Oryctolagus cuniculus: one gene and its partner. The protein of the gene in region 1 purifies or fractionates together with the protein of each later gene. This does not show direct contact. Links are inferred from orthologs where the notes say so. Each region holds a gene or a part of one and is shown on either strand. Other genes may lie near its edges.

Region 1 (2,956 bases):
CACTAATTATAAGATTACAAATGAGGTCCCAGAAATCATCCCGAGATAGAAAGAAGGAATCAGTTTCATTTGCCATCCTCAAAATGTACATTAACACTGTAGCCTGAGCTGTAATCCTTGTGAGCCAAAAGACTCGAAGTATATCTGGGAAACGAATCCTCTTCCATGTGTCCTCCATCAGTAGCTGTAATCCATAAATTCGATACATGTGCCTCACTAAAAGATAAACATAGCGTGTGGAATAATAGAACCACTTAAGTTTCACTACCAAGACAAGCACTGTATTTAATATGAGAATCAAGGAAGAAGCAAAAACTAAAGTCTCTCTGATGTGTAATGGTAGCTCTGTGATTAAGCCTATTACAGGAACCAAGAGGTCCAAAATAATTAGCTGCGAATGGATGGAATGAATCTGGAGTAGTGTAATGTATCCAATCCCAAATGTTAGTTGCAGAAGGATGATGGCCATCCACAGCGAGGGCCCTTTCCGAGGAAGCAGCTCAATTTCAAAAGCTGATGTGTTGTAGGCACCTTCATAGAAGTCAATGTGCAAAGCAGCGTAGTAATTCACCAGCACTGCAGACGTTACTAACAGAAAGGTTGAGCTGTACATGTAAAACTTGAAAAGTGATCGCTGGGACAAGATCAGAACAATACTGGATACAAAGATACCTACAAAGAAAAAAGAAAAGGTCATTTGAATGAAATATTTTTAAGAATGGTTTTCCATTAGTACTTACATTCTTTGATATTCTTCCTTTAATTATGAACATTCTCAAAGATATGAACATTAAGCCTAAAGACAATTTAGGCTGAAAGGGCAGAAGTTCTGTAAAGTCAGAGTTCAACAGGACAGACCAAATTATTTTTTAAAAAATCTCAATCCTTATTTTCTAATTTCCAAAGTAATTCAACTAATACTGTATGTCTAGGCACCCAATTACTAAACTATCTTTATTCAAGACAAACTGGTAGTTATACATCCATTTTAACATATTTCAAAACATGCCAACTGTAATTCCACAATCATTAAATTTGTGGAATTAAATATATTTTGAAATTTAAAATAATTTATCAAAAAACATTAATTAAAAATCCAAATGGAAAGCATTTGTTCCTATTAAGTCTTAGAATTCTTCATTATAAAGTGTTTTTTGGGAAATCAAGTTTACGTGTTTAAGTTTATTTTGTTTGAAAAGCAGAGAGAGCTCTTCCAGCCTATGGTTCACTCCCGAAACATCCAGAAGAGCCAGGGCTGGGCCAGGGTGAGAAAGGAGCTGGCAACTCAATCCTGGCTCTCCCAGGTGGGTGAGGTGGACCCAAGCACTTGGGTCATCACCTGCTGCTCAGGGGATGCATTGGCAGGGAGCAGGACTGCAAGCAGAGTCCCGGGGCTGGAAACAAGCTCTCCCATATGGGATGTGGGCGAGCCAAGCAGCCTTTTAACCACTGTGCCGACACCACCCAAACATTTAAGTGTTATACTTCCACGTAATTCCTCCTTTTCTGCAAACTGTGAACTTGTATCAGCTCTTTTTTCTGCTCCTTAAATTTGAGCATTCTCTAAATGTCCAAATTCAATCTTTTTTCTCTACATACTTCCCTTCAGATTTGAGAAATGCCCTCCAAGTTCCCCGAGTCTTATTTCTTCAAGCAGCCAACCATTCTTACTGTTCTTCAAATCACAAAAGGAAAATTCAGAAACCAAAACATGGTGAGCAGAAATGGTACTAACTCTCCCCCTCCTCTACTCCATCCCTAACCAATCTCAACAGTCTAATGATGTGTATCCAGCCTGACTTTTCTCTGTGCTCTGACAAAAAACATACTTTTTTGTTTTTGTTTTGTTTTTTTTTGTTTTTTTTGACAGGCAGAGTGGACAGTGAGAGAGAGAGACAGAGAGAAAGGTCTTCCTTTGCCGTTGGTTCACCCTCCAATGGCCGCCGCGGCCGGCGCGCTGCGGCCGGCGCACCGCGCTGATCCGGTGGCAGGAGCCAGGAGCCAGGTGCTTTTCCTGGTCTCCCATGGGGTGCAGGGCCCAAGCACCTGGGCCATCCTCCACTGCACTCCCTGGCCACAGCAGAGAGCTGGCCTGGAAGAAGGGCAACCGGGACAGAATCCGGTGCCCCAACCGGGACTAGAACCCGGTGTGCCGGCGCCGCTAGGCGGAGGATTAGCCTAGTGAGCCGCGGCGCCGGCCAAAAAAACATCCTTTTTAAAGTGAGATTACAGGCCGGTGCCGTGGCTCACTAGGTTAATCCTCCGCCTTGCGGCACCGACACACCAGGTTCTAGTCCCGGTTGGGGCGCCGGATTCTGCCCCGGTTGCCCCTCTTCCAGGCCAGCTCTCTGCTGTGGCCAGGGAGTGCAGTGGAGGATGGCCCAAGTGCTTGGGCCCTGTACCCCACGGGAGACCAGGATAAGTACCTGGCTCCTGCCATCGGATCAGCGCGGTGCGCCGGCCGCAGCGCGCCGGCTGCGGTGGCCATTGGAGGGTGAACCAATGGCAAAGAAAGACCTTTCTCTCTGTCTCTCTCTCTCACTGTCCACTCTGCCTGTCAAAAAAATAAATAAATAAAGTGAGATTACAACAAGCACATTATTGTCCAACTATCAACTGTAGGAATGACATCGAAATACTCATTTAGTTCCACTCCGACATTAAACTGCAAAACTCAAAAGTTCTAAAGCTCAATCTGCCTTACCAAAACCAGCTTGCTTTGTGATTTCCAATTTCAGTTAAGGTAAGTACCATTATTCTTCTCCAGGGTACTTCTACTCCCAGCCCAGACCCTCAATTTTTGCCAACTAGTTGCCAAGTTCTACTAACACCTGTATCTCCCTTTTCTTAGTGACACCAACTAGTCAATCTGCCTCTAAAAGCTCACTTTATCCAAATCTATATTTAAGCCAAACTGCCTTTCTTCATTTTTCTGTTCAAAATGCATAATCCCAAG
Region 2 (4,897 bases), on another chromosome or scaffold:
CTGCGTTACGTCCTACGGCCAGGCCCTCCCGTACTGGTTTCTGTGGCCCAACCCCAAGCTGTGGAAAGAGCACTGACCAGGGAAACAAAGCTTGGCCTCTCGTCCCAGTCTGCCCTCTGATGGGACGTGGCTCTTCATGTTTGTTTTCTCATGTGTGAAATGATGAGGGTTATGCAACTGGAGGGGAGAGGAGGAGGGGTCATGTGGTCTGCGACAGTTAGAAGTCTTCACCCGCAGAGGATCTCAGAGAAGTTGGCTAGGTGGGCAGACATGGCATTTGCGAAGAGAAGGCAAGTGGAAGACAGAAGGGCAGGAATTGTGCAAGGCACAGTGGTGTGAGTGGGAATGCAGGCCTCTGGGATGGCTCTGGGGGGCGGGAGGTTCCTTGTGTAAAGTGCATCTGAGACCTGAGGCTCTTCAAAGTCAGGCAGTAATTGCAACTTGATTGACTATAAAAGTGGGAATTTTAGGTTCTTCAGCCGAGAAGCGAGAGTTTTAGCCAGACATTCAGAAAAAAAGAGTCTGAGAAATTGTTTCAGATATTCCTAGGATCCCTTGAAGCTTCCATTACAAATACTCTCAACCAGTTCTCTTTTCAGATCAAGTTTTTGGTTTCAAGAAAGAAACTTCTGTCCCAAGGGTGAATGAAGTGGAAATTTCAAATTTAGATCTATTACTTAAAAAAGTTTTCTATTAGTACAGCCATATACTTCAAGTGTTTAGACACACAAAAGGAGGATCCCATCTGAGAACAGAGATGAGAACTTTCTAGTCACTGCCTCGCAAGTCTGGCATCGTTGTGATAACACGTGTCCCGGCTGGGCCACCAGGCCTCCACCCCAAGGAGACGCTCCGAGGGAGCCGACTGAGATGGGGGCGGTCTGCAGTCTCGAGAGCAGTGGCTCTGCCTCTTACTAGCTGTGTGCTCCAGTACAGTGGACTGAGTTTCCACGTCTATAAAATAGAGCGCTAGCTAGCACAGTATTGTATGGGATAAACGAAGCAACACATCCAAAGCCTACAGCAGTCACTAAGTGCTAGTTAGAAGGCAGAAAAGGATCTTCTTCCTCTTGTACTGTAGCTACATAGATAACTGTTGACTACGGGGTGCTCAATGATAGGGACTTGTTTGGTCAGAGGACATTTCAACAGCTGATAGATAGTGAAGGCCATAGAAAGCACCCAGCAGACACTGGTTACAAACACTGACCCCGAGTGACAGCTGACAGCATCTCTGATGGGCGAGGTACGCTAAAACTGTCAGGAGCAGGAAGGGGACAGCTCTTCCTCCCGTACCCAATCTATGGCACTGTAACAGTTCCAAGGGGGAAAAAGGCTTGGCTTGGCGCCACAGTGCACTTGGCGATCCGGCAGAAGGAAGTGCTGAGAAGTTGCTCCCTTGGCAACCGCCTCTCGAACACATGTGACCGATTTGTTTTCAGTTATCCAGCAGGGTAGCATGTTCGCAGGGGCGACCAATCGCCACTCAGGGCTGCGGCTCACCAGTTCTGCAGGCGGCCAATCGTGGGGCAGCCTGCTCTGGGTGACAGCTGTGGGCTATACTGGAGGCTGTCCCCGGTCAGCCGGGACACTGGAGGGAAGGGACCTCAGTCAACTTGGCCCAGTATTTGCTTAAGCAGCCAATGATCTCTCCACCTCATCTCCATCACTGGGCTTCCCCAAACTTGAAACGAGGGGTGACTTAGACTAGCACTGGGTGCCCCACATCCTCTCTAGTTCTTTCTCTAAATACAGAGATTGGAGATGGCAGTTTTCATCTCTGCATGCTCTCATTTCCAAACAAATGCTTGTTGCAGGCCCCAAACATGTTTTTAACCAAATAGATGCCCTTTTTTTTTTTTTAAATTTTTTCTGATAACAAGGATGGGTACTCACCAGCTGCTGTCCCACAACAGGGAGGGACCCACCAGGCAGAGGAGAAGATGGTGGCAATCACCTCCTCGGGGAAGAGGGTGACATTTCTCTGGATCTGTAGCAGGTTGAGCACCAGGGCCAGGACGACCCCCACCAAGAAGAGCACGAGGCTCCTCTGCACCAAGTGATGATGCCAGCTGTTGGTGTGGCTGCCACTGCCACGGTGGCCACTGCTCGCAACGCTCCGATCCCGGGGAGAGGGGTCAGTGTCCGGGCCACTGTGGGCCACCAGCAGGGAGGGACCGGGCACAGCGGCGGAGCTGATCATGTCTCCCACTCCGGCCGCCAGCCCTGCGGCGCGGGCTCTGAGGGGGCTCTGGTGCCTCGCACGGTGGGGATAGGAGCAGCTCCAGAAGTGGTCGTGCAGTCTGGGCATCAGTCACCAGCGGCGTCCGAAGAGGGGCTTCCTGGAAGACGGAGGGCAAAGAGGAGGCGAAGTCGTGATCAAGTTCAATTCCAAGAGCAGGGTGCTGGGGGGAGGGCCCCTGTGGGTCGCTGCCCTTCATCGCCAGTCCCGGGACCGCGGCTCTCCGATGCCCGCCGCGGCGCCGGGACCAGCTGCCCCCCCACCACACACACACACACACACCACACACACACACACACAGCGCGCGGGTATAAACGTCCCGCCCGCCCAGCGCCGTGCACACCGGCAGGCGCCGCCCCGCCGTGTCCAGACCCTCCGCGTCCGGCCGAGGACCGGGCGCCTGCCCCGGGTCCCCCCCGCGGTAAGAGCGAGCCAACCGACCGCCTCAGAGACGGGGTCCACGCGTCAGTCAGCCGGCCGCCTAGGACGCCAAGCCCGGCGCCGCGCGCGCCATCTCCCGCCTCCTGCCACCTACGCCGCCGGCCCTCGCAACCTGCAGCTTACCTGGCCGAGGGGCGCCCGCCAGCGGGCTGACCGAGCAGGGGCGGGGCGGGGACGGAGGAGGAGTCGCGGCCCGGGACGGCCCCAAGTGTGGCCACAGCGCCGCGAGGGCGCGCGGGCTTATATGGCAGGCCGAGGCCCCGCGTCACGTGACTCGGCCAGGCCTACCCGCCGCCCGCGCGCGCCGCGCGGGGGCGTGGCCTCCGCTCGCCCCGCCCCTGCCGCGTGCCCGTCCGCACTGGGTCTGGTGAGGCGGCCGCAGCCAATGGGAGATGGGCGGCCCATATGACGCGAGCACACGCCACCGCGGGCCCGCGCCGGGCACGCGCTGTCAGGAGGAAGCGCGCGGCCCGGACTCCCGGCGGGTGGAAGGCGGGCAGCGGGTAGGGCGGCTTCGCTGACTGAGGGGCTGGGGAGGGGCGGGGTGGGTGGAGATCACGGCCTGTACGGAGGCGCAGAGGCAGGGCGGACGTGCAGGGCCCCGGCTCAGCCCGTGCCGCCTCTGGACCCTGGTCTGACGCCGCGGCCAGGGAGCGTCATGACGGGGTGGGCGGCGGCTCCGCGCAGAACCCGCCCGGGTGAAGGCGGCAGGTGTGGGTGCGCATCCCGCGACCCGCCCCGTGGGCCGCGGGGGGCTTCCCTTCCGTCGCTCCCCCGGGCGGGGGGGAGGGGTCCCTCGGGGTCCCCGCACCTGCGAGCTCTGGGTTGTGTTCGGGGTTCCCTTACGCGGGCTCCTGGTTCCCACCCTCCAGAGCGCGTGTGTGTGGCAACAAAGCTTTTTATGAAAATGCCAGTGACCACTCCCTCTAGTTTCCGGTGGTCTTTGCTGACCTTTGGAAAGCAAGCCAGCACAAACACGAAACAGAGCACTCGCGGGAAAAAAAAAAACAACAGATCGTGTTATCTCGTGGACGTGATTTCTGCACGTCCCGTTTGCTGACAAGTCACGCCACCCTGCAGGACAGGCCGGGTGCCCGCTGAAAACCCACTTGCTGTTGCGCAAGGGCCAGGCTCCTTAAAAATGTTCTTGAACAGCAACAGAGGAAGAGCGCCCGGGCTTCTGTGTTGTCTGCAGATGGGCGGAGGTGCTGGGGAAGTTTGTGCCCTAAGTAGCAGCTTGGCCCAGAGACCCCAGGGAGTCACTGTGAAGTTACTGAGTCAACATGAGATGTCGCTGTGTAGCATCCTCGGCGTTAAAGTTTGTGGCTGTTAGGCCAGATGCTTGTAAAAAAAAAAAAAAAAAAAAAAAAAGAGAGAGATATCCTCCTAAGGTATCAGTATTTTTCAGAGTCCATTAGGGAAAGGGGGAAATTCACCTGAATTTGACTTAAAAAGTTTAGTTTGTTTGAAAGTTTGACCAGGAGGAAGAGATCTTCCATCCACTGGTTCACTCCCCTAATGGCTGCACCCGCTGGGGCTGGGCCAGGCCAAAAAGCTGAGCCCAGCACTCTGTCTGGGTCTCCTACCTGGGTGGCAGGGACCCAGGTGCTTGAACCTCACCTGCTGCCTCCCAGGATAGCCAGCAGCAGGCATCTGGGTGAGAAGTGGAGCTGGGACTAGAACCCAGAAACTCAAGAGGCAGAATGCTGGTGTTCCAAGCAACATCATAACTGCTATGTCAAACGGCTGTTCCTTGATGTGTTTTTATTTTTATTTATTTTAAGATTGATTTATTTGAGAGGCAGAGTTATAGAGAGACGGAGAGACAGAGAGAGAGGTCTTCCATCCCCTGGTTCTCTCCCCCAGTAGCCACAACATCTGATCAGGAGCCAGGAGCCTCTTCTGGGGCTCATGCAGAGGGCCCATGCACTTGGGCCATCCTCCACTGCTTTCCCAGGCAATTAGCAGGGAGCTGGATTGGAAGTGGAGCAGGCAGGACTTGAACAGGTGCTTATATGGGATGCCGGTGCCTCGGGTAGAAGCTTAACCTACTACGCCACAGCACTGTTTTTTTGTTTTAAACTTAAAAAATTTATCTTCTTCACATAAATCTCGACTACATCGAAAATTTGCAAAAATTTAAGCTTCTAAATATTTGGGAGATTATTTCACTTGTAAGTAGTCAGTTATCTGCACACTGATTTGAACTGTCAC

The links. The genes of interacting proteins can lie anywhere in the genome.
Region 2: the proteins of RNF139 (region 1) and INSIG1 purify together in Homo sapiens (affinity purification with western blotting, with the first as the bait; 3 studies listed by BioGRID). This does not show direct contact. The link is inferred for Oryctolagus cuniculus from reciprocal best matches to the Homo sapiens genes RNF139 and INSIG1.

Annotation. Positions count from the first base shown.
Region 1 is NC_091437.1:150,150,761-150,153,716, reverse strand, and holds part of RNF139 (E3 ubiquitin-protein ligase RNF139), read right to left. Parts: intron 673-2,956; coding exon 1-672. UniProt on the Homo sapiens protein: E3-ubiquitin ligase; acts as a negative regulator of cell proliferation through mechanisms involving G2/M arrest and cell death.
Region 2 is NC_091438.1:13,102,888-13,107,784, forward strand, and holds the start of INSIG1 (insulin-induced gene 1 protein), read right to left. Parts: upstream 2,946-4,897; 5' UTR 2,807-2,945; exon of another isoform or gene 2,684-2,806; intron 2,343-2,683; 5' UTR 2,312-2,342; coding exon 1,897-2,311; intron 1-1,896. UniProt on the Homo sapiens protein: Oxysterol-binding protein that mediates feedback control of cholesterol synthesis by controlling both endoplasmic reticulum to Golgi transport of SCAP and degradation of HMGCR.